Linked DNA regions of Sus scrofa. The protein of the gene in region 1 purifies or fractionates together with the protein of each later gene. This does not show direct contact. Links are inferred from orthologs where the notes say so. Each region holds a gene or a part of one and is shown in the gene's direction. Other genes may lie near its edges.

Region 1 (4,156 bases):
ATGAGTGAATGAGTAAATAGGTTTCCTGTCTGTACCTATGCATAAAGACCTATTGTTTGCATGCATTAATTACAGGGATAAAAGCCTGAAGATAACTTTCACTGTTGCTTTTTGTATGCTCTTCATTGTTTTGAAGGAAAAATAAGCATACAATAGACTAGACAAAGTGAATGGATCATAATTTTTTCATCTTTGACAAATGCCAATCTTGCTGGATTACAATGGAGACATTTCGAAGGGAAACGAAGACCCAGCTTCAGCCTATTAGGACGAATTAGAAAATGTTTTTAAGAATAGAAAATTCGTTTTTAAAAATTAGAAGCTGCCTGATAGCTCCTTCCATAAACAACAACTTGGATTTCTCAACTAAGTAATATCTATACATGAACTTCCTCCGAGGAAAAATCCTCCCCCAACAAATTTATTGATACTTAGTAAAGTGGAACCAGATAAAATTGAAATCTGTAAGAATTAACCTAGTTGACAGGGCTCTAGAGCTAGTCCATTTCTATCAGTCATTTGTTCACAGTAGGGACTAAGGACTTGTTGAATTGCGGGCTAGGCGCCCGTTCTAACACGAGTTCAGTCTTTGGGATTGGGTTAACAGGAGGCTCGGCCCGGTACTTCACTTCCAGATTCAAGCCGGTAGGGATGCGGAATCTACGATTCAGACCGTGGAGGTAATGTGCGGCTCGGCTAGGAGCCAAGTCCTGCAGAGAGCTTGGGGCCCAGACCGCAAAGACGGCGAAAGCACGATCGCGCCGGGGTCCCTCGACTTGCATAGGGGCAGCAGCAGCGCCCGGCAGCGCCGGGAGCGGGCGGGCCCCGACCTCAGCACTGCGGTTGGCCCGGTCCCGAACTTCCGCCCTCCTGGGACCTGTGCCGCTCGGCCTCGTAGGGCCGGGGTCCGGGTGCCGCCTCCCACGGGCAGCAAGCGGCCAGTCCAGCGTCCGCTCTCTTGGCACTGGACGAGTGAGAGCCGGGGGGCTTCGGGATCCCGATAGTGGAGAATTTCGGGGTCGCCCTCCCCCAGCCCATCCCGGCCCGCGGGTGCCCTGGCCGCCCCATCTCGGCCGACAGCGCCTTGGCGGATCTGTCCTGCGGTCCCGCGCGGCCCGGCAGCCGCCGGCCTCTAACCCCCGGGAGCGCCCGAAGAGCTCGCAAGCGCCCCGCCCCAGCCCGAGGCGGGCGGCTCGGCGGAGCGGGGACTACTTTCCGCCGCCCGCCCGCGCCCCGCCCCTTGTCCTCGCGCGGCGGAACGCTCCGCGCTGCGCCGCTGGCGGCAGGATACAGCGGATTCTGCGCGACTTATAAGAGCTCCTTGTGCGGCGCCATTTTAAGCCTCTCGGTCTGTGGCAGCCGCGTTAACCCGGCTCCGGGAGCTGAGAGCGAGGGGAGGCGGAGACGGAGGAAGGTCCGAGGAGCAGCTCCGGTCTCCGCCGAGCCGCCACCGCAGGCCGAGGACGGTCGGACTCCCGCGGCGGGAGGAGCCTGTTCCCCTGAGGTGCTTGGGTGCTCCTTTCCTTACCCTTCCGGGGCTGCTCCCGCTCCTCTTCGGAGCCAAACTTCGTCGCGGGCGCGCGGTCCCGGCGGCGGCTGGAAGCCGGGCCCGGTGCAGCCCGGAGGGCCGGGGTGGGGAGCTGGGGGCTGACTGGGGGCGCCGGGGAGGCGGCGGGGGCGGGCCCGGCCCGAGGGGCGGAGGGCGGCGGCCGGGCCCGGGTTCCGGTCGCGCGGCTCTTTGGGGGCCCCGGGTTTGCCGCTTGCGGGGAGGGGGCGCCGCGAGGGCGCGTTCGGGAGCTCCGTTGTCTGGCGGGGGATAGTAGGGGGGTCTGTGGTTTCCGTCCCGGGCTCCGGCCGCGGCCGAGTTTGGGGGAGGGACCCTGCGCCTCTGGATGCGCCGGGGCCGGGGTGGGGGGCGGGGTGGGGACGGGGGACTCCGCCTTCCGGGCCTTCAAGGGGAGTTGGGGTACAGGCGCTGGGCCTGGGACCCGAGGTCCCATCTGCCATGAGGAGAGGACCAGTAGACTTTCTCTTCAGAGTCCCTCTTTCGTGCTTAAGGACGAATTAAGAGAATCGTTAGTATTATTTTAATGCTCTGCTGGTGTGTTTGGTTTTGGCTCCTGTTTAAATCGGAGCAACTTTAAACCGTAGAGGATCCAAACTATTATTGCAGACGGAGCGATGCTCCAGGAGGAGTTGCACAAATAAAATCCATATCTAGCACCTTTATTTTCTTGTACGGTGCAGGTGAGTGAAAGCAGTGTGCAAGGAAGGTCCTGGGAAAAATAAGGGCGAGGGCGACTGGCTTACTGTCTCTTACCAAGTGACCCGCCGGACTCAGCCTCTGACTGCTTCGAGAATTTTGTTCGTGGAAATTCTTTATTTAGATAATTTCATGCCAGCTAAACTTGATTTTGAGAGCACTTTCCAGCGAGATGAATTTTTCCCTCGCTACGAAATTGCCCGAAGGAAATTCAAGCGTTGCAACTTCGTTCCGTGTTTTGTCTGGGGCGAGGACTTGGAATGCAGTTTCGAAGTTCAGTTCTCAAAGCCCGCTACTGGATCCGCTAAACTTGAAAGCTTTGGCAGTTGGGTGTAGTTGATTCCTTCGTTTTCAGTTCCCTGTTGGAGGGAGCATTGTCTCCTACTTTGTATCTTCCAGACATCTGTGGTCTCCCCTCCCCCCCGAGTTTGTGAGTGGTGAATGAGGAGACTGGCCTGCTGGTATGCAGAGGTCCGCAAAAGGAAATCGAGGAGTGGTTTTAGTGAAACGAGAGCTTTGTGTCGTGAATAGTGGTGGCTTAGACTAGACAGCAACTTGAAGCGACGGCTAGCCTTTGATAAAGTCTGGACTGATGTTTTTCAGATCGCTGAGTTATAAAGTATTTTGTCTGGAACTTAGGAAGCCATTTCGTTATTGTCCCTTGGTGTGCATTCAGTACCTTCAGCTATCTTCACCTTAACTTGTCTTCAGAAATGTTGGACATAGCTTGAAATATTATTTACCATAATGCTACTGTTTAGTATCTGCTTAAATCAGTGACAAAAACATACTTTGGAGGGTTTTTTGTGGGTTTTTTTTTTTTTTTTTTTTTTTTTGTCTGAACTAAGGCGATGGCTGCATTTATTTTACTTTTACATTTAAACCCACAAAATCTCTGGGTTAAAAAAAAAAGTGCCATTAACGTTTGAGAATATCCTTGCACAAAATTTGATTAATTTGCACCCAATATTCATTACTTTGACCTAGTCTTTGTTCTAAAGGCCATGTACAAGGCCCTAAAGTGATTGCAACAGTAACTCGAAAAACTTGCAGAAGACTCTTCTATAGGATTAAAGGAATGCTGAGACTATTCAAGTCTAAGGTCCTTGAGGGGGAAATAAAAAAACTAAACTAGAAAGTTTAGTATAGCATGTAGCTTAGAGCCCTTGTGGAGTTCTAGGCTTAGATTTTTCCATAGGCTAGAATAATCATTTAAGATAGCTTTCAGGAAAAACCAATTTTTAAAAATAAAGTGGCAAAAAAAAGGACAAAAAAGAAACATTTAGCAGTGTTCAAGTGTCAATAGGTATTCAAGAGTTTTCTTTTGAAACGTTATCCGACTACTTCCTCTACCAAGATAATTATGTAGAAAAGTATGGATCCCAGTATTAAAACATAAGCTGAATTGAACTTCCTACTGTTGCCAGTGATGACTGGAATAAAAATTATCCATGTAAGTGAAGTAGTGTATTTTTGTTTTCATAGATACTTCCCTCCTCCACCCCCCCCCATAGGAAGGAAAACATGAATTAGGCATATTTCTCTAAGGGTATTTTGAGATTTGGTCTTTCAGGAAAACTATCTGCAAATACTGTTTTTTTTTATTGGGAGGGGTGAAAAGAGGAGCAGAAGTATTATTAAAACTGGGGATGTGGAGAATTCAAAAGTTTGATTCTCTGTCATTAAAAGTAGCAGTGAGATTAAAACCCTAGATATGGACTATATAAGTATCTTCAGCCAGTGAAACTTGTGTTATTGAAATAATACATCTATCCAGTTACAATAGGATTTTGTTTCTCTCTTCATGATTTACTAGTTACTGATAATAATTGTAGAGGAGTAGGTGGTAAATTTTAAGTTTGTACTTTGAGCTAGGGTGGAAGCATGCTTGAT
Region 2 (3,500 bases), on another chromosome or scaffold:
GAATTAAAAATCAGAGAGGTATCTGGAAAATCCCTCAATATTTGGAGACCAAGCAAAACGCATCTTAAACTCCTAAGCCAAAGAAGGTATCAGAAGGGAATTAAGTTACTTTGAGCTGAATGAAAATGAAAGCATTGCATATCAAAATTTGTGAATACAGCTATAAAGCAATTCCTAGAGAAAATTTTATAGCTTCTATTAGATAAATATAAAGGTCTCAAGTCAAATACCTAAGCTTACAACCTTGAGAAACTAAAAAAGAAAGAAAAGCAAATTAAGCTCCAAACTAGGAGAAATAGTAAGTATCAGTACAGAAATCATTGAAAGGAAAACATGTGAACAATAGAGAAAATCAATGAAAAGTTCTTTAGGAAGATCAATTAAATTTAAAAAGTTATACTTAGCAGAAAGAGAGAGGACACAAATTACTAATGTCAGCAATGGAAAAGGTGACCTCACTATAGAAACTAAGGTGTTCAAAGTATAATAAGGAGCTACTGTGACAATATTTACCCTGGCACCTTTTCTTAGGGTAAAACTTCCAACTATCTTGCCTCAGCCTGATGGACAGGGCTCAGGTAATACAGAAAACTAGTTTATGGCTATCTCCAAATGAATATACACATATAAAAATTAGAATAGTATATTCTTTTTTAAGCTTTAAATAATTTTTTTACAAATATAAATTCTATAACTTTTTATTTTTAGGTACATATCAATTTTTAAGGCAACTGTAAAAGATGACATGCAGAAATTTAAAACTGCAATGAAAACCATGGGACCAGCAAAACTTGAAGTACCTTCTCCAAAGGATTTCTTGAAGAAACACTCTAAGGAAAAAACTCTACCACCCAGTAGGTTTTATCATTCTTTTTAATATTAAAAGTGTTAATAAGTAATTTAACTAAAATTATTTTGTCTGAGAATATTGAATGTTTACAGTGATAGCAACTCTACCTTGTATTAAACAGAATTTGAGAGCCTAGGAGAAAATAGAAGTCAAGAATATGATAAATGCACCCTAATATTTATAGCAGCATTATTTAAAGTTTCCAAGATAAGGCAGCAACCTAAGTGCCCATCAACAGAGGAATGGATAAAGAGCATGTAGCATGTATGTACAGTGGAATATTACTCAGCCATAAAAAGAATAAATATTGCCATTGCAACAACATGGACCTGGACAGTATTTGCTAAGTGAAATAAGTCACAGAAAGACAAATACTATATGTTATTACTTATATGTGGAACTAAAAAATGCAGTAAATTTGTGAATATAATAGAAAAGAAGCAGACTCACAGATATAAAGAACAAACTAGTGGTTACCAGTGGGAAGAAGAGGGGGACAATACAGGGGTAGTGGATTAAGGGGTACCAACCATGAGGTATAAAATAATATACAAAGATACATTGTACAACACAGGGAATACAGCTGTCAGTATTTTATAATAACTATAAATGGAGTAGAATCTTTAAAATTGTGTATATTGTACACCTGTGGCACAGATAATATTGTACATCAACTATATGTCAATTAAAAATACATTTTAAAAAAAGCTCTACAAAAAGAGAGAATGTAGTAGAAAAAGAGAGTGGGCAATGCTAAGTTGCCTCCCAAGTAGACTTTCCTTTTGATGGTCAGGCATCTGAACTTCATCTTCGACTATTCAGTAAAGCCCCATCTCCAGCACCACATGCCTCACCATCTTCATCCCTAGCCATTTCACTTCAATAGCAAACAACAATTATAAGAAGCATCCTAAATCCCAGTGGGCAAGATTGGTCAGGATCTAAACCCTGTCTAGTCTTTCCTCCAAGAGATAAAACTTAACAGCTGTTATAGTCAGTGGTCGAAGCAACTACCAGGCTCATTTTAGCCTTGACTGGTTTTTAACTCTTGTCAGATCTCTAAGACTGTCAGGGCAATGAAGGAGTTAAATGCAGTGGAAGAGCTTTGATGAGTGAGAGCCGTTTTTTTGGGCATGCTACCAGTGCAGTCACACGGGGCCCCACGCTTGAAAGGACCCCACATTTGGTTTAATCCTCTGCTTTTGCCATCTTGATATTCCTAATGGTTTTTTATCCAAGAGCACCACATTTTCACTTTGTACTGAGCCTCGCAAATTAGGTAGTCAGTTTTCTATGTGGTCATACAGAATATATATATCAGGGAAAAGACTACCAGGAAAATAAGGAAAAGAGGAAGAAGTCTGTCTCTCCTCTTATAAACATTATAAGGCAAAACAAAATTTCATTCACCTTAAGAATAATTAAGAAATTCTAGGGCTTTAAAAGCCCAGTCCACTGAGACAAAGTTAAAGGTAATATATGTCAAGGCTGCTGCCAATCTGTCTGTGAATATTTTGCCATTTTGAGCACAGTAATTTTCTAGACACACTGAAAAATAACTAACAGGTCCATGAACATGTCTCAACTGGTGGAACATCTGCATGACTGCAAGGCTGTGTTGATATTGTCATGTTGTTATAACCTTTAAAAAAGCCACGTCATTCAGTTTTCATATTTAGTATCACTGCCACCAAATAATTTGTGAAGAGACAGCCTCACCCCATTTTCTAAGCCTTCTCTCATTGCCAACCCCTACTTCCTGGGATGAGGGACATGATGACATTTAGATACATATAACATAAGCAAAAGAAGGGGGTAGGCTTAGGCTCCATCCCATGCAAACCATAAACCAAGATTTATAATTTACTTACTCAACTAAGAATGAGTTATCAGTCTTTCTTTCCTCATTTTCTGAGGATTCAGAAATGCATTTCTAAAGCTATAGTTAGAGGAGTCATTTGCATGCACTTTCAGCTAATAATTAAATTTGGCTTCTAAATGTTTCCCATGTGAATATCTAGAAGATGGATGCCTCTGATTTTTTAGGCAAACATTTTAAGCCATCCTTACTTGGTTGGATGTATCTGATACAAAGGAGCTACTTGGGCTGTGGAAGGCTTAGTCTCTGCTTCAGGCTTCATGTAAAAACTCCTTATTTCAATTTTTGACAATATTCACATCTCAGTAACATGTTAAATAGAAAGAAGATACCATTTTTGTAGGTCAAAAGCAGTGAAGAATTTTATGTATAGTTCAAGCAAATATATATATTATATTTTGCATATTAAATTTTCTTTTTTCACCCCCCACTATAATGTAAACTCCATGAGAATGGAGACAGTCTCTTTTGTTACCTGCTGTATCCACAGTTCCTAGAGCATTACCTGGGGACATAGTAATTGCTCAACATAAATATATGGCATGAATTAATGAATATTCAAAACCTCCTTTATAATATTTCTGGGGGTATGGAATTATCAGAGGTATGTTGGTCACTAGGGCTGCTAACATAACAAACATGGGTAGCCTAAATGGAAATGTATTTTTGTCACAATTCTGGAGTTCAAGTCCAAGATAAAGGTGTTTCCTGGCTTCATTTCTTTTGAGACATCTCTCCCTGATTGTAGGTAGCTGTATTCTCCCTGTATCT
Region 3 (3,500 bases), on another chromosome or scaffold:
CCTGCCTGCCCCACCCCTACTCCAGTCCCACCTGGGGACACCCCCTGGATCCCACAGGCTGCTGGGAAGGCCTCAAGCCCCGCCCCCCAAGCCAACCGGCCCCGCCCCCTTCTGCTCCAGTCTGGGGAGGGCTTCTCACTGCTTTTCCCTTCCCTGCTCACCCATCTCCATTCACCTGCTCCTACCTGTCCCAGGTGAGCCTGTCCCAGGGAGCCAGCCCCCAGCCCCCCAGCCAGTCCTTTCCATCACTCGCTGGACCAGAGTTTTATCTACCAGGTCACTCGTCCTACCTCTTAAGCTAGACCTTTTTCAAACCCGGAGGCCAGCCTCTGTGTTAAGAAGCAGCAAGAGAGGTTGAGTGGGAGCCAAAGAAATCAATCCCACACCCACTGGTTCCAGCTTTGTGATCCAGGGCAGGCCGCTGTGCTGGTGGGACCCCCAAGGGCACATCTGTAAAATGGGCACAGGACTCTTTCTCCCTGGGGGGGGCTGTGAAGATGAGATAAGGTGATGTGTATGAAGGTGGGCCCCTCTTTGTGGGCCCATGATAAGTGGCACCTCCCTTGCGGCACCCCCGCCTCTATGGGAACCCAGCGCTACCAGGCCATGGATGCTGGGGCTGGGTACCCCCAGAGTCCAGTGCAGTGCTGGACACGAAGCGCATAGGAGCTCGGTAGACTGTGCAGAAGACTCGCTTTGACCTTCATCTGCCAACCCCAGGGCCCTTTTTACAGGCCTGATGGTCTAGGTTCCCTTTTTTCTGGGCCTTTCCCTCCTCCTGCAGCCCATCTCTTTGCGGTTGGCTTGGACTTGGTGGGCCCAGTGGAGCGGGCCAGGGTCTTGGTCAAGAAGGCCTCCGGGCTGTGCAGGCCTCTCCCTGTAGCCCACCGACCACAGCGGTCCCTTCGTCCTCCAGCCTTCCCCCACTTCAGTCCCTGGCTGGTGACCCAAGAGGAATGCAGCCCAGCAGGGGCCAGGCACACTGGTTGTTCTGGGAGGAGATCAAGAGGGCAGAGCTGGGGAGGCAGAGGCCACCGGAACAAAAGGGCGGGAGCCACTGGAGGAGGGGCCTGGACCTTCCTTTGAAACAGCTGTGCTGCTCATTTTAATCCTGCGGCCTCGGCCAGCCCTGCGAGGGGGAGGCCCGGTGGGGGCCCAGCTCAGAGTGGGATGGGAGGGGGTCTTAAACTTTGTCCCAAACATCTCTGTCCCATCTGTCAGCTCGCTGGGCCCAGCCTGGAACAGAGAAGGACCAGCCTCCAGTTGTTTGCATCTCAGAGCTGGGCTCACGGACCTCAGGCGGGGAGTCTGGGAGCTTAGATGTCTTGGGACCCCCAGATTGTCTTCTTCCCGTGCAGGCTTGGGGGTGGGGGCAGGGAGGGGGCAGCCACTCCATCGCCACTGGCCCATTCCCCCGTGTTGCCCCCGCCGCCCCGGCCTCCCCTCCAAGAGCAGCATCCTCTGCCTTCCTCTCTGTATGAGTCTGGGCTGCCTCTGGGGTCCTCTGTGCCCTGGCAGACCCGCCTTTGGGGGCAGAGGAACCCAGCCTGCTTTCTCCCCAGGGTGAGTCCGTGGCTCAGCAGGGCCCCTTTTGTGGCCCCTGCCTTCTGCCAGAGGCACCCCTGGCCACAGCCCGCAGGTTGGCCTTACACAGAGGGTGGCCGTCCTGGGGTCACCTGGTCCTCGGTCCTTGGCGAGGGTCGGTGACGCCCTGCGCTTGTGCTTTCCCCACAGGTCCTTCAAGAGGAGCGACCCCGTGAATCCATACCACGTGGGTTCTGGCTATGTCTTTGCGCCGGCCACCAGCGCCAATGACAGCGAGATCTCCAGTGACGCAATGACGGATGACTCCATGTCCATGACGGACAGCAGCGTGTAAGTAGGGTCTGGTCTCCCCGCCATGTACGCGGTTGGCCGAGTGACCCACTGGGCCAGCAGGGGCAGAGTCCTCAGCTGTTTGCTGGGAGGGGTGGGGCTGGTTTAAGAGGCTCACGTGGTCACCTGGGTTCCTTAAGCTTAGAGCCTTGAGTGAGAAGGTGAATGGTACCTTAACAGAAGAAAACCAAAATTAATTCGATAGAGGGTTAAGAGGAATATCTCCAGATTCCCTGAGTTTTATCCTGCCCTCCCTGTGGGCAGAAGTGCTCGGCTGGACTTGAAACTCAGGAGTCCTTTCCACAGGGACTTGGAGAATAGACTTGTGGCTGCCGGCGGGGCGGGGGAGATGGACTGGGAATCTGGGGTTAATAGATACAAACTGTTGCCTTTGGAATGGATAAGCAATGAGATCCTGCTGTATAGCACTGGGAACTGTATCTAGTCATTTGTGATGGAGCACGATGGAGGATAATGTGAGAAAAAGAATTGTGTGTCTGTGTGTTGTGTGCACGAGCGCGTGCGTCTTGGGGACGCTTTGCTGTACAGTAGAAAATTGACAGAACACTGTAAACCAACTATAATGGAAAAAATAAAAATCACTTTTATTAAAAAAAAAAGAAAGACCAAAAGAAAAAGAAACCCAGGTGTCCCACACACAGAACCACCAGGTGGGACCCAGGGTGGCATTGGAAGGGTTTGCATTTTAGGTGTTGATTGTTGTGGAAGGAAAAGGCCCTGGACGTGGGAGCCAGGAACCCCGAGTTCTCTGCAGGGCCAAGCGTGTAGTGCACCCTCATGGGCCTGCTCCAGTGGACACCTTTGGCAGGGTGCCTGCCTGCTTGGTCCACTGGCGGTTCCACCCCTCGGGGTGGGTGGGGGGGGTCCTCTCCAAAGGAGTGTCTGATCTTGGCCCTTTTGCAGATGGATGACTGGGATTTCTGAATGCCATCCAAGCCATCAGGGTGGTCGGCTGAGGTCAGCAGGCCATGGGGCAGGGTCATGCTTTGAGTTGCAGGTCATTCGAGGTCACACAGCGGGGACCTCTGGATGGGGAGCAGTGACTCTGTGAGTAGTCCCAGGTGGTGGTGGGGGCTGGCATCCTCATCTCCTGCCAACCTTGGAGATCCTGGTTCGGGGACTCGAAGGAGGTGGAGCCTGGGCTTTGGGCAGAGCTCCCTGAGAGCGTGTCTCACAACACCCGCTATTCTAGAAATGGTCTTTGAAGGCTTTCCTGCAAATATTTTGGAGAAGGATCTTCTGCTAAGGGAACAGTTTTCAAAAGCAAACCTATTGAGCTCTTGTAAGTTCTGGCACACTGATTTCGAGTTTGTTCTTTTCAAGTCTCCCCAAACTGGACCGTCTCTTCTTCCAGTTTGTTTGAACCAATCTGGTTTCTATTGGCCAATGATCCATTGCTTGGCCTGCAGCATGGAACCAGAGGGAAGGAAAGTGGATGAGGTTGGTTTGGGACTCTACCACTGATTTTCCTGGTGGCTTTGATTGTGTTACCTCAGATTCCCCTGTTGGTAAAGAGGGGAGGGAAGTTTAAGGGGAAAAGTTCCATCTGAATCAAAGACTAGCACTTAGGCACCAGTGAAAGTGGAGAAGGGTGAATACACATC
Region 4 (3,500 bases), on another chromosome or scaffold:
AGCATGCAGAAGTTCCTGGGCCGGGGCTCAAACCCGTGCCACAGCAGTGACCCAGGTCGGAGCAGGGGCAACGCCAGATCCTTAACCTGCTGAGCCACCAGGAAGCCTCTAGTAGCTTCTTATCAAGTATTGTTCATACATTAGTTTAACCTTCTCAGCAATGTACTATACTGTCACTTTTACTCCTTTACAGATGAGGACAATAAGTCACAGAGATATTAAGTGGCTGGTGAGGTGTCCCCACTGTGTGCCCAGGCCTGCTTGTGGTGGAGCAGGGTGGTGGGCTCTTTCCTCAGATAGCCCGGGTTCCTACCTCAGCTGACCAGCTGTTAGGACCTCACACAAGTCATCCAACTACTCTGAGCCTCAGTTGCTTTATCTGCAAAAAGAGCAGAGACAGGGGTTCCTATCGAGTATAAGAAAAGGGGATTCCCGTACCAGGTCAGAACAGAGATTTGTGGAGTTCCCATCGTGGCTCAGTGGTTAACGAATCCGACTAGGAACCATGAGGTTGCGGGTTCAATCCCTGGCCTTGCTCAGTGGGTGAAGGATCCGGCGTTGCCGTGAGCTGTGGTGTAGGTTAGATGCTGCTCAGATCTCGCATTGCTGTGGCTCTGGCGTAGGCTGGCGGCTATAGCTCTGATTAGACCCCTAGCCTGGGAACCTCCATATGCCACGGGAAGCGGCCCTGGAAAAGGCAAAATACAAAAACAAAAACAAAAAATCAGAGATTTGTGTGGAGACACCAGTTCCTGTACAAGGTCAGGGCGGAGGCTTCTGTGCAGGTGGGGCCAGGGGATCCCATACCAGGAAGGCGGGTTCCCACACACACTGAGCACATGCGGTTGTGAGGATTCAGTGCTTAAAATAGGGTCTGGCACACAGCAAGCTCTTAACGGAAATCAGCTCTCACTAATGTTGCCATCAGTGTGGTAGTGGCGGTGGTTATTATTATCTTACACTTTACAGCACACTTTATCCCCCTGAACAACTACCGCACGCAGTGGGTGCTGTCCACCTGACAGATGTGTGTTCTACTTACTTGTCCCCAGTACCCACCCTCCAGACTTGCAGGGCCCCCAGGGAGGCAGGACATCCAGTCTCCCCAGTTGTCTGAGGACCTCGCCCCATCATACCTTTCCCTCCTCTTTTCCTTAACAAAGGGTGGCTATAACCTGATATCCATCTCGGAGTCCATGGCTGCCTGTACCCGCTCCCTCCTTGGGGACTCACCACCCCTGCTGACCCTGCTGAGGCCCCCACTCTCACGGGCCCTGGCCTCGATCGCCGAAACCACCCAAATCCATCGCAGATACTGGCGCAGCTTGCGGGTCACAAGTGAGGGGGCCTGGGGAATCGGGGGGGCAGTGGGGGCTCAGGGGAGGGCAGGGATTAGAGGCAGGAGAAGGGATAGCACCCCCACACTCAAGGATCTCCCTCTCATGCTTCCAGAGGTCGAAGACAAAGAGAGACCCTCCAGTTCTAAGTCGTTCGCCAAGAAGCCATCCCAACCAGCCAAGCCTAAGCCATCCAAGGGGATGACCGCCCCAAAAGGGGACATTCCGGAAGCACACACAGGGAAGGCCACCTCGGTATCATCAGTGAAAGTGTCCCCCCCAGGCCAGACGAAGTCAGAGGCAGCCCTAGTGGAACTTACTCAGGACCAGTCCTCAAAGGCTGCCACAGAGGAGGCTGTGGGAGGAGCTAAGCTGATCCAAAGCCCTCCAGCCTCGGGAGGTGACAACCAGACTCCTCCAGCTTCTCCACGGCAAGGATCCACAACTCTGATCTCCCCCAGCAAGCTGGTAGGCAATCTCGGAGCCTTGGAACTGAGAAATGAGGTTCAGGTAAGGCCCCCCCCACCCTCAATAGCAGGGAGAAGGGGCAAGAATCAGGCCTCCTGGATACATCGCTTGTCTCCCTCCTTGTATCCAGGAGTCCCCAAAAGAGGAAGGGCTGCTAGGAGAGGCAGCTGGAGGTCAGAACATGGACAATTTAATGCTGATGCAGGTCTTTGGAAACCAAGCTGACACTGACCAGGTGAGCTCAGGCCGAGGCTAGAGCGGCGGCTTCCTTCTTTGGCCCGTTTGTGCCCCCACATCGGAGCGTGGGCTGTATAGGAGCATGTCAGGAGGAGATGGCATCCCTCGCTTACTCAGTGTCACCCACCTCAGGCCATGTTCTATGCTGTGTCACCACTGCTCTGGTGTCCACATGTGGTGGCAGTACGCCCCGTACCTGAAGCGGGCCTGGACGTGACCCAACCTTGTCAAGACTGTGGAGCACTCCAGGAGAACTGGGTGTGTCTGTCTTGCTATCAGGTATGGCACCGAGGAAGGGGCAGGGTGGCAGCCGGCCATGGAGCAAACCACAGTGGACCGCTGACCCCCACCCAACTCGCACTCCCCAACCTTAGGTCTGCTGCGGCCGTTATATCAACGCCCATATGCTCCAGCACCACGAAAGCTCAGGCCACCCCATGGTCCTCAGCTACGCCGACCTGTCTACCTGGTGTTACCCCTGCCAGGCCTATGTTCACCACGAGGTGGGCCCTGGGCAGACTCTATAACTCCCGTACACTCGCGCACACCCCTCTCCCCGCCCCCCCAGCTTTTGCGATTGGGTCAGGGGCGGATGGAGACCCTTCTGCATGGGGGCTAATGCAAGGGAGAAGGCAGTGGAGGGCTGGAGGGGGCGCAGCGTCCTGGCTGAGGGAGAGGGGTACTCACTCTCTCTCCCCTCCCCTCTCTTGCCTCCTCCTCCTCCTCCTCAGGCTCTCCTGGCTGTGAAGAACATCGCCCACCAGAACAAGTTTGGGGAGGGCGTGCCCCACTCCCGCTAGATCCCAGAAGCCTCTTCGCGGGCCTGCTTTACTCCATCCCAAGTTGTACCTTGGAGGAGAGGCAGCCTCGCTCCCCCCATCCTGAAGCCCCTTTACCACTCCCCAAGGGTGCCGCCCGAAGTGTAAATACTTTTAAGAGGACAGTGACGATCACTTGTACGTCTTTCCCTGCTCACTGCCAGCTCAAGGGACTCCATCTACTCTGCCCCCGAAGGAAGGGGCGGCAGCACAGTCACCCCAAGGCGGGGCTGATGTAAAGATGATACTTTGGAGGGAAGGGGGGATGACTGGCAGGTCTGGCGGGGTGGCATATGCAGTAAAGTACAAGCTGTTACAAAAACCTGGAGAAAGGCTTTGATTTCGAGTGGGTAGAGAAGCCCATGCCCCTGACCAGCAGGGCTGATGTGTAAATGAAGGCATGAGGGCGTGGGTCTTTCTCTTGTCAACCCCCAGCTCATCCAGCGCCCCCTCAAACTAACTGCGAGTAGAACAATAGTTCGACTGGCTCCACAAGGGATTAAATGGTGGAATCTGTGAGAAAGTAAGTGCCCGCCTTAGATATAGGAGCCTCCCAGCCGGTCCCAGCTACACCCTGGGCTGAGAAGGCAAGAAAACTCCCTAGGCCTCAGTCTCCCCACCTGCTTTTTGGTCTTGATTG
Region 5 (3,500 bases), on another chromosome or scaffold:
CTTCAGGCTTAGTGCCCTCTCCTCGAGTGATCTTATCAGCTCCTCTGGCTTCAGTTCCTATATATAGCTGTCACCTCCTTCATTAACACCCAAAGGGTCAGTAAGTCCCATTGACTGTGCTCCTTAATGTCTCTCAGGTCTGTGTCCTTGGTTCTCACTGCTGCATCCTTGTTCATGCCCTCATCATTTCTTAATCAGACTGTGGCACTAATCTTGCAGCTCCTTCATCTGTGACTGTCCATCTTTAATTCATTTCCAGTGGTGGGCCAGTACTATCACCCCCAAAATTCAGATCTCTTATTAATGGTTCTCCCTGGCTCCTAGGAAAGTCCAGACTTCTTAACATTATGTAATAGAGAGAGCCCTCTACGACCTGGCCGCTTTTGCACCCTTATTTCTCCGTTCTCTCCCCTTTTTTGCATTTGACCTTCCTTCCTAGAAGACCTTTCTTCTCCCTTTCTCCTGAGTTCATATGTCCCTTCCTTATGGAGGTCTTCTTTCATTCGTCCTGAGTAGAGGAAGGTGGCACTGTGGCACCATGGTACCTCTGGTCAGTGTCTTATTTGTAGCACTGTGGGTTTCCAGATACTTATTTGTGTGTGTCTCCCACCAGACTGTAAGAGACTCAAGAAGCTCTCATGTCTCTAGTACCTTTTATCCCAAGTGCCTGTCTTAGTGCCTGGCAGTAGTTCCAGGCACCCAATTCACAGTTGCAAACCTGAGCCCCAATTCTTGCCCCACTGTTTACCAGCTCTTTGACCAGAAGAAGCTCACTTAATCCCTCTGGGTCTTTCTGTTTAGGAAAGTCTTGCTTCAGGCTCTTCCTGGCTGTTAGTCTAACATGGTTGGGGATCATTTCTCCTTTTCCAGCAAACTGCCCTATGATGTGACCCCAGAACAGGCTCTGGCTCATGAAGAAGTCAGGACACGGCTAGACAACTCCATCAGGAACATGCGGGCTGTGACAGACAAGTTCCTCGCAGCCATCATCAGCTCTGTGGACAAAATCCCGTGAGTGCCATCAGCTGTGATCCCAAATAGCCCCCAGCATTAGTGGCCCTCTGCTCCCTGGCCCTTCTCACTAAGTTTTGTCCATCCCACAGTTACGGGATGCGCTTCATTGCCAAAGTGCTGAAGGACTCATTACATGAGAAATTCCCCGATGCTGGTGAGGATGAGCTGCTGAAGGTAAGACTCCGAAAGCTGGCACATTCTCGCCCTTCCAATAATAGCCCTTTGAGGAAAGGTTACAAGACCAGGCCTGACCTTAGACCTTTAGTAAGTGCCTAAGCATAGATTTTGTCAGTTTTGAAAGCGATTATAAATAGTACCTGTGTTAAATGATACCTGTCCTAGTTCCCATGTAGTTTGTATATTGTTCGAATGGCACACAGACATCACACAAGTAGAGAAGACAGATTTTCTTAAGATAAACTTCTTTGAGTCCTGTCTTTTCGCTGAAGAATTGCTCCCTCTGCTGGTGGCGAGGTGAATGGTAGCAAGCACCATTGTTTCTGCTAAGGCTGTTGCTGGTAATTCTTTCTTACTCAGCTATGCTCCCTCCTCTTTTTTTTGTTTTTTTTCCTTTAATCTGAAAGCTTTTTTTCTTCTCTCCTAGTTCTGTGCTTTCCTACACTGAGGCCTCGATTCTAGACTTTCTGTTCAGGTGAATTAATTTTATTTTTTTCTGAATGAAACTCTAGGGGAAGTGCGACTGTCCCTGAATTCTTCTGTGGAAGAGATGTGTGTTGAGTGACTTTAATTTCAGAGGCATGAACTTGTCTGCCTTTGAAGTCTGCAGCATGAGGATGATGGGGGTTGGACGTGCTGTGCTGATTAAGTCATGTTTAAGGATGTATTTTTAGCTGTGTTTGTTAGTTTCTTAGAATGAAAGCCCAGCTACATAAAAGTGAAAAGTGCATGTGGTTGACAGCAGCCTTATTTGCTGCCCTATTATATGTGAACAAAGAATGCCCTAAAAGGCTCAATAACAGACCTTGAGTCTATCATTTTTACCTTCTGAACCTGCTCTTTCATTGTTGTGATTTTGAGTTCCGTTCTCATTCACTTTTTTCCCTGCAGCCAGCCAGGGGATGTTCGGCCATTTTAGTTTCAGGGCTTGAGAGAAAATGTGTGTGCATGTGTGCGTAGTGTTTGCTTTTTCCTCACAGGACCCCATTTTCTGGTTTCCTTTGCTAGCAAAGTCATTTATGGTTTACTCGCGGGAGTGGTTTTTAATACCCATTTCTTTTTCCTCTGTTCCTAGATTATTGGTAACTTGCTTTACTATCGATACATGAATCCAGCCATTGTTGCTCCCGATGCCTTTGATATCATTGACCTGTCAGCAGGAGGCCAGCTCACCACAGACCAACGCCGAAATCTTGGCTCCATTGCAAAGATGCTGCAGCACGCAGCTTCCAATAAGATGTTTCTGGGAGATAATGCTCACTTAAGCATCATTAATGAATATCTTTCCCAGTCCTACCAGAAATTCAGGTAGGAGGAAAGGAACAAGGCACTCAAAAGATTCTGTGGGTGTGTTTCTGACTCTGAGGGGAAAGACAAAGTTAAACTCCACATCCAGCATGCTCTGAACTCCAGGGTGGTAGGATATATGTTTCCTGGGCTCACAGCTCCAGATGAAAAGGATGTCTGAGCCATTAAGATATATTCCTGGGCAATAGACAGTCCTTAATGTAAAAAAACAACGGTCTGCATTAGACATGTGTCACTCCGTAATCAGAGAAGAACTGGAGAGCACTCTTAATGTGTGTAAATTGAACACTGGCTTGTGAGTTCAGGGTGCTGCCTTAGAAAGTTGCTTCTGCTGACCGCTAAGGTCTTGGAGAACTTTGAGGTTTGAAATCATGGTTGAGCAGCTCTTGTGGATAGAACTAAAACAACGCGGAGAGAGGACCAGCGTCCCAAGGCTGTCGGGCACAGCAGACAGCCACAGTTTCTCTGGCGTTAACTGGCCTGGCTGGCTTCTGTCTGAACTCACTGCTCCAGAGGCTTGTGGGATGTCCCCTCTCCAGCTTCTCACACGTGTCACTTTTGGGGCCTGGCTCCTGTGCTTATTTTCAGACGGTTTTTCCAAACTGCTTGTGATGTCCCAGAGCTTCAGGATAAATTTAATGTGGATGAGTATTCTGATTTAGTGACCCTCACCAAGCCTGTGATCTACATTTCCATTGGCGAAATCATCAACACCCACACTGTAAGCATTTTGCTTTAATTACTTAATTTCATCGCTCTGTCTTAATTGCCTTCTCTGGCTACTGCTTGCCATCTCTGGAAGCCCAATATCATACCATCCTTTGATCTTTCTGATATCGCATCTACCTGTTGTTTATCCTCCTTGGCTCATTATTCTTAACATTCTTGAAGTGGCCCCTAGGCCACCTGCAACTGCCTCAGAATCATCTGGGCTGGTTATTAAGAAGGAAGTTTCCTGAACCCCACCGCAGGCCAGCTGGATCAGAATCCCCATGGGTGGG
Region 6 (3,500 bases), on another chromosome or scaffold:
CTGAGCCTGGATGAGAGCAGCCTGGGCGGTAAGGATAGATGGAGAACTGAGGAGCCAAGCTTGGCTTCGGTCAGGAAGAGGATGGAGAGTTAGGAAGAGGGCCGGGGGGAGTGGAGTGGCCTCTGAGTTGAGAGGAAACCCGGCGAGTGTGGCATCCTGCAGTCCCGGAGAAGGAACGGCAGCAAGCAGGGAGGAGAAATGAGCTCTGCGCGGTGCTGCCGAGGAGGCAGGTAAAATGGAGACAGAGAACTGAGCCGAGTTCGGAGACAGGTCACAGGGGACCTTGACAGGTCATCTGGTGAAGTGATGGGGCAAGAGACTGCCATGGATGAGAGCAAGGACTCGAGGCGGCGGATGGGGACAGCTCTGCTGTCTGCAGTAAAGGGAAGCAAGCCATGAGGTGGCAGCTAGAGGATTTACAGCTGGGAGAAGTGGCAACTTGTTGGTACCCTGGTGGGAAGCGGTTTGGGCTTGCAGAGTGCTTGGGATGGTGCCTGGCATGTGGCAAGTACTCAGTATGTGCAGGAGTCCTGTGCCACGCATACCCCACACCTGCCCTGGCCTACTCCTCCCTCGCCTCTTGCTAGCCACCTGCAGGCCTGGACATCCCGCCTTCCACCTTCCATTCCCCCCACGCTCCCAGCCTGATACAGGAGTGTTGGGGTCAGTGCTGGGGATCAAGGAAGACCTGAGAGTGACTGGAGCGCCCCCAGCTCACTCAGGAAGCCTGGCCTTCAGACAGCAACAGGGAAGTCCCAGCAATCAAGGCCAGGGGACAGCACGGCCCTGTCGTCTCCGAGTGATGCTGCAAGTGGCTACCATCTCAGGGCAAACCCCTTTTGGTGCAATGAGACCAAAGCGCCTGGCCCATGGGAGGCCTGGCACCAGAGGGCTGGGGGGACACTGTGAGTAGCACTTCCTCTGTGCAGTTCGGGGTGAGTGAGGGGCTTCTTACACTTCCCTTCCTCGTGACACTTGGGTACCTGAGCTCTGGGGTGCTGTCTGGCTTTATCCTCCCAGCAGCCATTTGAGACAAGGTCATGGCTGCTCAGCTATTGTAGTAAATTAGATGCAGGAACTGCTGTGGTGGCAGAACCTCTTCAAGGCTGAGGGATGCTCCCCTGCCCTGCTTCAGGAGGCCAGGAGGGGGCTCTGGTCACAAGGAAGGCATCGGGCTCAGGAAGTGGCTGTGGCACCACATCCATGCCAGCTGCAGAGGAGCCACCACTGTTAGAACATCACCTGCTGAGGGCTTAAGGACAGAAGGCAGGCTGGTTAGCCCTGGTATTTGAGCTTCTCCTCGTGGGCAGATGGGTGAGCGGGGACTGGTAGGTGGCAATGTCAGCAACTTCACCAAGCCCCGAGGGGAAGAGAGGCTCCACTGGAGGCAGCGATGTGGGCAAGCTGGTGCCAGGGCTGTTGCTGGGAGGTGTGGGATCTTCTGCCCACCTGGGAGCCCCTTGCTGCACCCGCTGTGGCTCATCCCTGCCCTTGCCTCCAGCCTCACCCAGACCCGTAAGAGCAGTACCAAGGGACCTGTGCCAGGCTCCTTACCAAGAGCTACCCTGACCTTCCCCAGCCCTGGTGATAAAGGGGTCTTGAACCCCATCCATTTCACAGAGAGGAAACTGGGCCCCAGAGACGTCAAGGCGTCTGACTAAATTCACCCAGTGAGAAATTTCACCTACAGGGTGAGCAGGAGCCTAGACCGCAGCCTTTCCTGACTGTCTTGCCCCAGAGGTAGCCTGTTGCTCTCGTGCCATGGCTCAGAGGTCACTGGACTGTGCCCCAGCCAGCAGCACCCCCACAGGTGGACTCTTCCCCGTGGAAGGTGACCTGGCGCTGCAGATGATGCCTGCAGGGCACTGGCCAGCGCGGGCGCGGGCACGCACTGCGGGTACACAGGCCAGGCCTCGGTTCTGAGCGCACACTCCTTGTTGCTGGGCCTACGGGGAGCCCCCTTCACAGCCTGAACGTGAGTCATCTCATGACAGATCCATGTGACTATAGTGTAAAAAGTAAGAGTCCTGCGGTGCTGAGGCAACAGGAAGTGCGGAGGCCGGGTGCGCTGGCCCTGGAGGGAGCCTGGCTACACCCAGTGCCACCTTGCCTACCTCCCCTGACTTCGAGCTGGTGGTTCCAGAGGTTCCGGCTCAAGCCCCTCAGTCTGGGGGCTAGAGGAGGAGGAGAGCAAGCCCCAGGCTGCCCTGGAGCTCAGGAGGCTCGTGACCAGCTCGCCAGATCAGACATAGGGCCTCAGAGAAACTGAGAGACCTCAGCCAAGGAGACAGAAAGAATTTCTTCCTCAAGGGTCTTCTAGGAGGCTCTCTAGGAGGCTGGACTGCTTGGGAAAGTTGGGGCCAGGGGAAGGGGCAGGACGGCAGGGCCACCAGACACCGGGTGGCCTGGGGCGGGGGGCTGTCCACTGAGGCCTGTGGTTTTGGCCACCTCCACTTTCCTTTGGGGGTTGGTCTGCCCACACACAGCGATCTGGCACCCTTCCTCCTTCAGGTCCCCCCATTCACCCACCCTCCTTGTTTCGCAGCACAAAGCCAGTCAGCCTTCCCACGGCGTCCCCCAGCTCTCTCCTCTCTATGAACATTTCAGCAGTCCGCACCCCACACCTGCACCAGCTGACATCAGCCAGAAGCAAGGTATGGACCCTGGATGGGGAGGAGCCCAAGGATACCCAGAGCCAGAGAGTGGGAGGCTCAAGTCCCTGCCCCCTCAGGCCAGGTGGCTGGACCCTTCCTACAAATGGAGAACCTGGGGCTGTGCAAACCCCCCCCCCCCGCCAATGCCAAAAAGAATGAGCCTGAGGGTACCAAAGGGTCAGGGATGGTGGTACCAGGTCAAAATTTGAAGGCTTCAGGTTAACGTAGGAGCCGAAATCCTGAACAAGCCCTGGGTGCCAGCCTGGGAGTGGGCCTGTGTGTGAAGCTGATAAACACACAACGTGTAGTCTTTCCCTCCCCCAGTGAGAAAATGGAAAGTGGTGGTTGTGATGGCTGATTCACCTCAGCCTCAGGCAGAGTCATTCTGAAATCCGCCAGTGTCGCTGTGGGAAACCTGCTGACTCAAGCCTGGGAAGGAGGAGGAAAGGGGAAAGGGTGGAGCCCTGGCTCCCCAGGCCAGGGGGTCTGCCTCCGGCCCAGAAGGCTAAGCAGGAGCCCCCAGCAGAGGCCCCAGTTGCAGACCAGCATCCTGCTGAGAGGTGGCGAGATCTGGCCTCCCACTCCTGAATGACTCCCACTCTGCCACTGGCCAGCCACTGTCCTTAAGCAAGTCACCCAAACCCCCTGTCCTTGATGCCCCTGGGCTCCAGACGGGGCACTGTTATCATCCTGGCATGGCCCTGGACGAACTCGTCTGTCCAGTCCTCTGGCACAGGGAGGTGGGATCTGAAGAGGCCTCACAGGAAGCTCGAGGATGTAAGCGCGTGGCCTCAGGTCAGGCTAGCTCACTTACTCGGCCCCTCTCACTGCAGGAGTTCACAGGCC
Region 7 (3,940 bases), on another chromosome or scaffold:
ATTTCTACCAGGAAAATTACCTCTTGGGCCTACTTAAATATAACTTTTAGTTAAAAATAACATACACAAGAAACTGCACAGAAGGACGCTCAATGAAATTTCTACACAGTGAACACATCTGTAACCAGGGCTCAAATCAAGAAAAAAAAATTAGCCGAATCTCAAAAGCCCCCTCGTGGCTTCTTTCTGTCACTGTCTTCCCAAACACAACCTGATTTTCAGTCTCACAGCTTTAGATTTTGTTTAAATGGAATCAAACGATATGAACTTCTCTAGTTCTAGCATCTTTTCCTTAACGTCCATAAGTTGTGTGCAAAAGTAATTTGTTTTTGTATTGTACTTCTGATTCTTTATTGAGATAATGGCCCTGCATTTTTCTGTACTTTTTTCCTTCTGTGACTTGCGGATCATCTTTACCTTGGGGTTGATAAAGCCGAGTGTGGGTTATTTGACATCTCAGGGGTAACCGTCTACATTCTCAACCGTGTTTCAGACGTTTTGAGGTCCCCAAAGGCTAAAATAATCTATCTGAAAAGTGAGTTTTTCAAGGGCCTTACTAAGCCGGGCTGCAGGAGTCAGAACCGGAGCAGAATGCAGCCTCAGGAAATCTTAGCTCACATTTTCTTTGACATTAATAGGCTCACTGAAATCGAATCCAAATCTGGTGACTGGTCGATGAAGGAAGCAAACTCAGCCACCCCGGGAGGCGCCCAGCATATTAGGAAGCTTACTCCGCTTCGGAGCCGCCACTGGGTCCCGCCACACGGCCAACGCAACCCCACCTCCTACTGCGACCGGTGATGACGCCACCACGTCGTATACGCTGAATCCTGACGTCCCCAGAGCGCCAGAACCCAGTGAAAACACAACCGTTCCCCTCAGGATCCTGCGCACTTAATGTCCTCGTTTTTTCCCGTTTTAGCACACGTAGGCTCGCCTTTATCCCTTTTTTCGTCCTTTACTCGCATACGTTCACAGTCTTAGACAAGATGGCCGACGAAGTGGCCCCGGGTCCTAGAGCGCACCGAACCACTCGACTGCCTAGTCAACTTCCGGTTTAGGCCCCGAAGATTGGTGCGTTATTTCCGGGGTGGTTTAAGGTAAGCAGAAGCGGCGGTTTCGAGCTGCGACTGCGCAGTCGGCGCGATGGGGGTCAAAGTAAATTACGTACAGTTGCCCAGGCGGGAAGGAAGAGGCGTTACTCTTCTCGAACTGCCGGTTTGATCGCGAGAGTTGAGCCGTTGCTACGGGGCGAGGTGGGCGGGGCGGGGCCAGGATAGGCAGGGCGGGGCCAAGCCCTATAGGCGGTGCTGGAGCGGGGTGGGCCTTCGGCGACGGACTCGCGAAGGTTCCAGAGGCGCCGCGTGCCGGAGGCCGGCTGCTCTCCCGTTCAGAGTCGGGCGTGTTCTCAGGCCGCGGCCACGGCCACTGCGACTCGTGTCCGTGCGATCTGCGCTTGGAATCAGCGCGCTCGTTGCGGCGTTCCTGTTCTCGCCCTGTGCCGGTGGAGCTCGGGCCTTGCCTGACGCAGCTCGACCATGGCTTCAGCTTTGGAAGAGGTAAGGGGTCTGGCCTCATCTTCCTCCCTCGGCCTTACTAAAGCTTCCCGCTGCGTCCTTCGCCCCACCGCCCTGTTTCCCCTATCGAGCTGCGCTGCGGCTGCCGGCGACACCTGCCTGTCTGGCAGCTTTCCTGCGTCCTTGGGTTCCCGCGCTTCCCCGCGGCCTCCCACCCGCCCAGCTGTGGCGGCCCCGGTGCCGACCGGCCACTGCGGGCCTTCGGGGCTTCGCTTACCCCGGAAAGTTGCCGTTGGATGCCTTCCACAACCCCGGCCGGCGGTCGGCGCTGTAGGTGAGCGGAGGTGTGTTGCGGTTCTCGGCGGCAGGTGGATCCAACCGTGGACCCAAGAGCTGGTCACCTTCACGTTATCCTCAGGCTCTTTTCACTCCTTTTACACCAGCCTTTGGACGTGAAGCTTCGTTAAATTAAAGCCGATTGCAAAAACTGAGAGTCGTTCCACTGAGAGGGCAGTTGGAAGGTGAGAAGTCCTCAGTCCTAGCACTTAAATTCTCTGTCATGTTTTCTCTACACATACTTTGGGCAAGTTATGGTGCATCTCTGGGCCACAGTGGTATCCATTTCACAGGGTTGTAAACAGTGCTTGGCAAAACAATTGTTTGCTATGTGCGTTTTAAAAAATAACTATATTGGGAAATTGGTTGTAACTTTTTTTTAAAGCTCTATAAACTCAACACAGGTGGCTTAACTTTTTGGAGATTTAGTTTGTGCAATTACAAAATGGGAATAATAATACTTGCTTTGCTCTTTTTTCTGGCTTAAGTACAATGACAATACTGTTAATCACAGTTAATTGTTGGGTTTCCACTAACTAGATTTACTCCCTGGGAATCTTCTGCTTAATATGAACAAGACTGGGAAATCCTCACATTTGACTTTTTAAGTCGAAGAATTTGCTTTAAATGAAAAAGTGTGTATGTGTTTTAAGTATTATTGTGGATAATGTGCCACAAGTTTGTTATGTGTTTTAAAGATAGGTCTTTGGGTACCACGTGCCCTGAGGAAAGACTCTGAAGTGACTGTACATACACGAGTTGCTCAATATTTATCCCTTTCAAAGTAACAGGCTTTCTAATTGCAGTGTATAAGTTTAGGGACATTTGGGGGGTTTTTTTGTTTGATATAAAATTCGCTGTTTTTACCATCTTAAAGTGTATAATGCAGTGCTTTTTTTAGTATATTCACAGTGTTGTGCAACCATCAGTATATGATTCAAGAACATTTTCATCACCCCCAAAGGAAACCTATTAAGTGGCCATTAGGCGGTCACTTCCCATTACTCCTCTTCTGCCAGCAGCCACCAGTCTGCTTTCTGTCTCTGTGGATTTGCCTATTCCGAGCATTTCATCTAAATGTAATCTTAAAGCATATGACTTTTTTGGCCTCTTAGCGTTATGTTTTCAAGTTCATCCATGGTGAAGCATATACTTTTATGGCTGAATAATATTCCATTGTATGTATATACCACATTTTGATTCATAAATTGATGGACATTTGGTTGATTTTCACTTTGATTATTATGAACACTGCTGATGTGAATATTTGTGTACAGCTTTTTATGTGGGCATAGGTTTTCAAATCTGTGGTATATATGGAGGAGTGGAATTACAGAGTCATATGGTTAACCGACAAACTGCTAAGTTCTTTTCCAAAGTGCACTATTTTTCATTCCCACAAGCAGTGTATGAAGGTTCCAATTTCAGTTCATCCTCAGCAACTCTTATTTGCTGGAGTTTGTTGTTGTTTGTTGATGTTAATCATCCTGGTGGGTGTGAAGTGGTATGTCATTATGAATTTGATGTGTATTTCCTTAAATGACTAATGATGTTGAGCATCTTTTCATGTGCTTGGTGGTCATTTGTACATCTTTGGAGAAATGTCTGCTCAAGTCCTTTGCCTGTTTTGAACCACTTTGGTTTTAATGCTTCTTAGTGAAGAACTTGGAAATAAGTTAGAAGAGAAAGCTTGAATATATTTATGATAGGAATAAAAAGGAGATGTGATTTTGCATAAGGAAGATAAATGAATGCCTAGAGAAATTAGGTGACAAACTGCTGTATCTCAGGCATCTTAAAGATATTTACAGGAAAAGCACCAAAGGGATCATTATTACTCATTTCAAATTTGTAAATAACAGAGAACTAAGGAATTATCTTAAACAGGCCTGCTGTAAGTTGCTTCAGACTTAACAGTGGATATCTCATTTTTGTGGTGCTGTAGAGCCAAACTGGCTGTAAAGAGGGTCTGGGCATACATTGCTAAATTCACAGAGTTCTGAGTCTCCTAGAAAAAGGATCCATATTGTTTAGAATTTATACATTTTCTTTTTTAAAAAAAACCTAAATCCCTACTCTGGAAACAA

The links.
Region 2: the proteins of CTNNB1 (region 1) and ENKUR purify together in Homo sapiens (affinity purification with western blotting; 3 studies listed by BioGRID). This does not show direct contact. The link is inferred for Sus scrofa from reciprocal best matches to the Homo sapiens genes CTNNB1 and ENKUR.
Region 3: the proteins of CTNNB1 (region 1) and AXIN2 purify together in Homo sapiens (affinity purification with western blotting; 4 studies listed by BioGRID and IntAct, with this or other methods). This does not show direct contact. The link is inferred for Sus scrofa from reciprocal best matches to the Homo sapiens genes CTNNB1 and AXIN2.
Region 4: the proteins of CTNNB1 (region 1) and HDAC6 purify together in Homo sapiens (co-immunoprecipitation; 3 studies listed by BioGRID and IntAct, with this or other methods). This does not show direct contact. The link is inferred for Sus scrofa from reciprocal best matches to the Homo sapiens genes CTNNB1 and HDAC6.
Region 5: the proteins of CTNNB1 (region 1) and IQGAP1 purify together in Homo sapiens (affinity purification with western blotting; 3 studies listed by BioGRID and IntAct, with this or other methods). This does not show direct contact. The link is inferred for Sus scrofa from reciprocal best matches to the Homo sapiens genes CTNNB1 and IQGAP1.
Region 6: the proteins of CTNNB1 (region 1) and TCF7 purify together in Homo sapiens (affinity purification with western blotting; 8 studies listed by BioGRID and IntAct, with this or other methods). This does not show direct contact. The link is inferred for Sus scrofa from reciprocal best matches to the Homo sapiens genes CTNNB1 and TCF7.
Region 7: the proteins of CTNNB1 (region 1) and CACYBP purify together in Homo sapiens (affinity purification with western blotting; 4 studies listed by BioGRID, with this or other methods). This does not show direct contact. The link is inferred for Sus scrofa from reciprocal best matches to the Homo sapiens genes CTNNB1 and CACYBP.

What each region holds. Positions count from the first base shown.
Region 1 is NC_010455.5:25,162,939-25,167,094, forward strand, and holds the start of CTNNB1 (catenin beta-1), read left to right. Parts: upstream 1-1,356; 5' UTR 1,357-1,504; intron 1,505-1,528; coding exon of another isoform or gene 1,529-1,949; intron 1,950-4,156. Other genes in the region: basic proline-rich protein-like, read right to left, coding at 1,529-1,949. UniProt on the Homo sapiens protein: Key downstream component of the canonical Wnt signaling pathway.
Region 2 is NC_010452.4:50,320,609-50,324,108, forward strand, and holds part of ENKUR (enkurin), read left to right. Parts: intron 1-708; coding exon 709-854; intron 855-3,500. UniProt on the Homo sapiens protein: Adapter that functions to localize a calcium-sensitive signal transduction machinery in sperm to a calcium-permeable ion channel.
Region 3 is NC_010454.4:12,329,708-12,333,207, reverse strand, and holds part of AXIN2 (axin-2), read left to right. Parts: intron 1-1,734; coding exon 1,735-1,875; intron 1,876-3,500. UniProt on the Homo sapiens protein: Inhibitor of the Wnt signaling pathway. Down-regulates beta-catenin. Probably facilitate the phosphorylation of beta-catenin and APC by GSK3B.
Region 4 is NC_010461.5:42,938,713-42,942,212, forward strand, and holds the end of HDAC6 (histone deacetylase 6), read left to right. Parts: intron 1-1,163; coding exon 1,164-1,338; intron 1,339-1,452; coding exon 1,453-1,847; intron 1,848-1,935; coding exon 1,936-2,040; intron 2,041-2,174; coding exon 2,175-2,321; intron 2,322-2,416; coding exon 2,417-2,545; intron 2,546-2,773; coding exon 2,774-2,842; 3' UTR 2,843-3,182; downstream 3,183-3,500.
Region 5 is NC_010449.5:53,107,479-53,110,978, forward strand, and holds part of IQGAP1 (ras GTPase-activating-like protein IQGAP1), read left to right. Parts: intron 1-870; coding exon 871-1,011; intron 1,012-1,103; coding exon 1,104-1,188; intron 1,189-2,266; coding exon 2,267-2,499; intron 2,500-3,087; coding exon 3,088-3,220; intron 3,221-3,500. UniProt on the Homo sapiens protein: Plays a crucial role in regulating the dynamics and assembly of the actin cytoskeleton.
Region 6 is NC_010444.4:136,443,243-136,446,742, forward strand, and holds part of TCF7 (transcription factor 7), read left to right. Parts: intron 1-2,545; coding exon 2,546-2,654; intron 2,655-3,487; coding exon 3,488-3,500. UniProt on the Homo sapiens protein: Transcriptional activator involved in T-cell lymphocyte differentiation. Necessary for the survival of CD4(+) CD8(+) immature thymocytes. Isoforms lacking the N-terminal CTNNB1 binding domain cannot fulfill this role.
Region 7 is NC_010451.4:117,062,855-117,066,794, forward strand, and holds the start of CACYBP (calcyclin-binding protein), read left to right. Parts: upstream 1-1,140; 5' UTR 1,141-1,538; coding exon 1,539-1,559; intron 1,560-1,960; exon of another isoform or gene 1,961-2,038; intron 2,039-3,940. UniProt on the Homo sapiens protein: May be involved in calcium-dependent ubiquitination and subsequent proteasomal degradation of target proteins. Probably serves as a molecular bridge in ubiquitin E3 complexes. Participates in the ubiquitin-mediated degradation of beta-catenin (CTNNB1).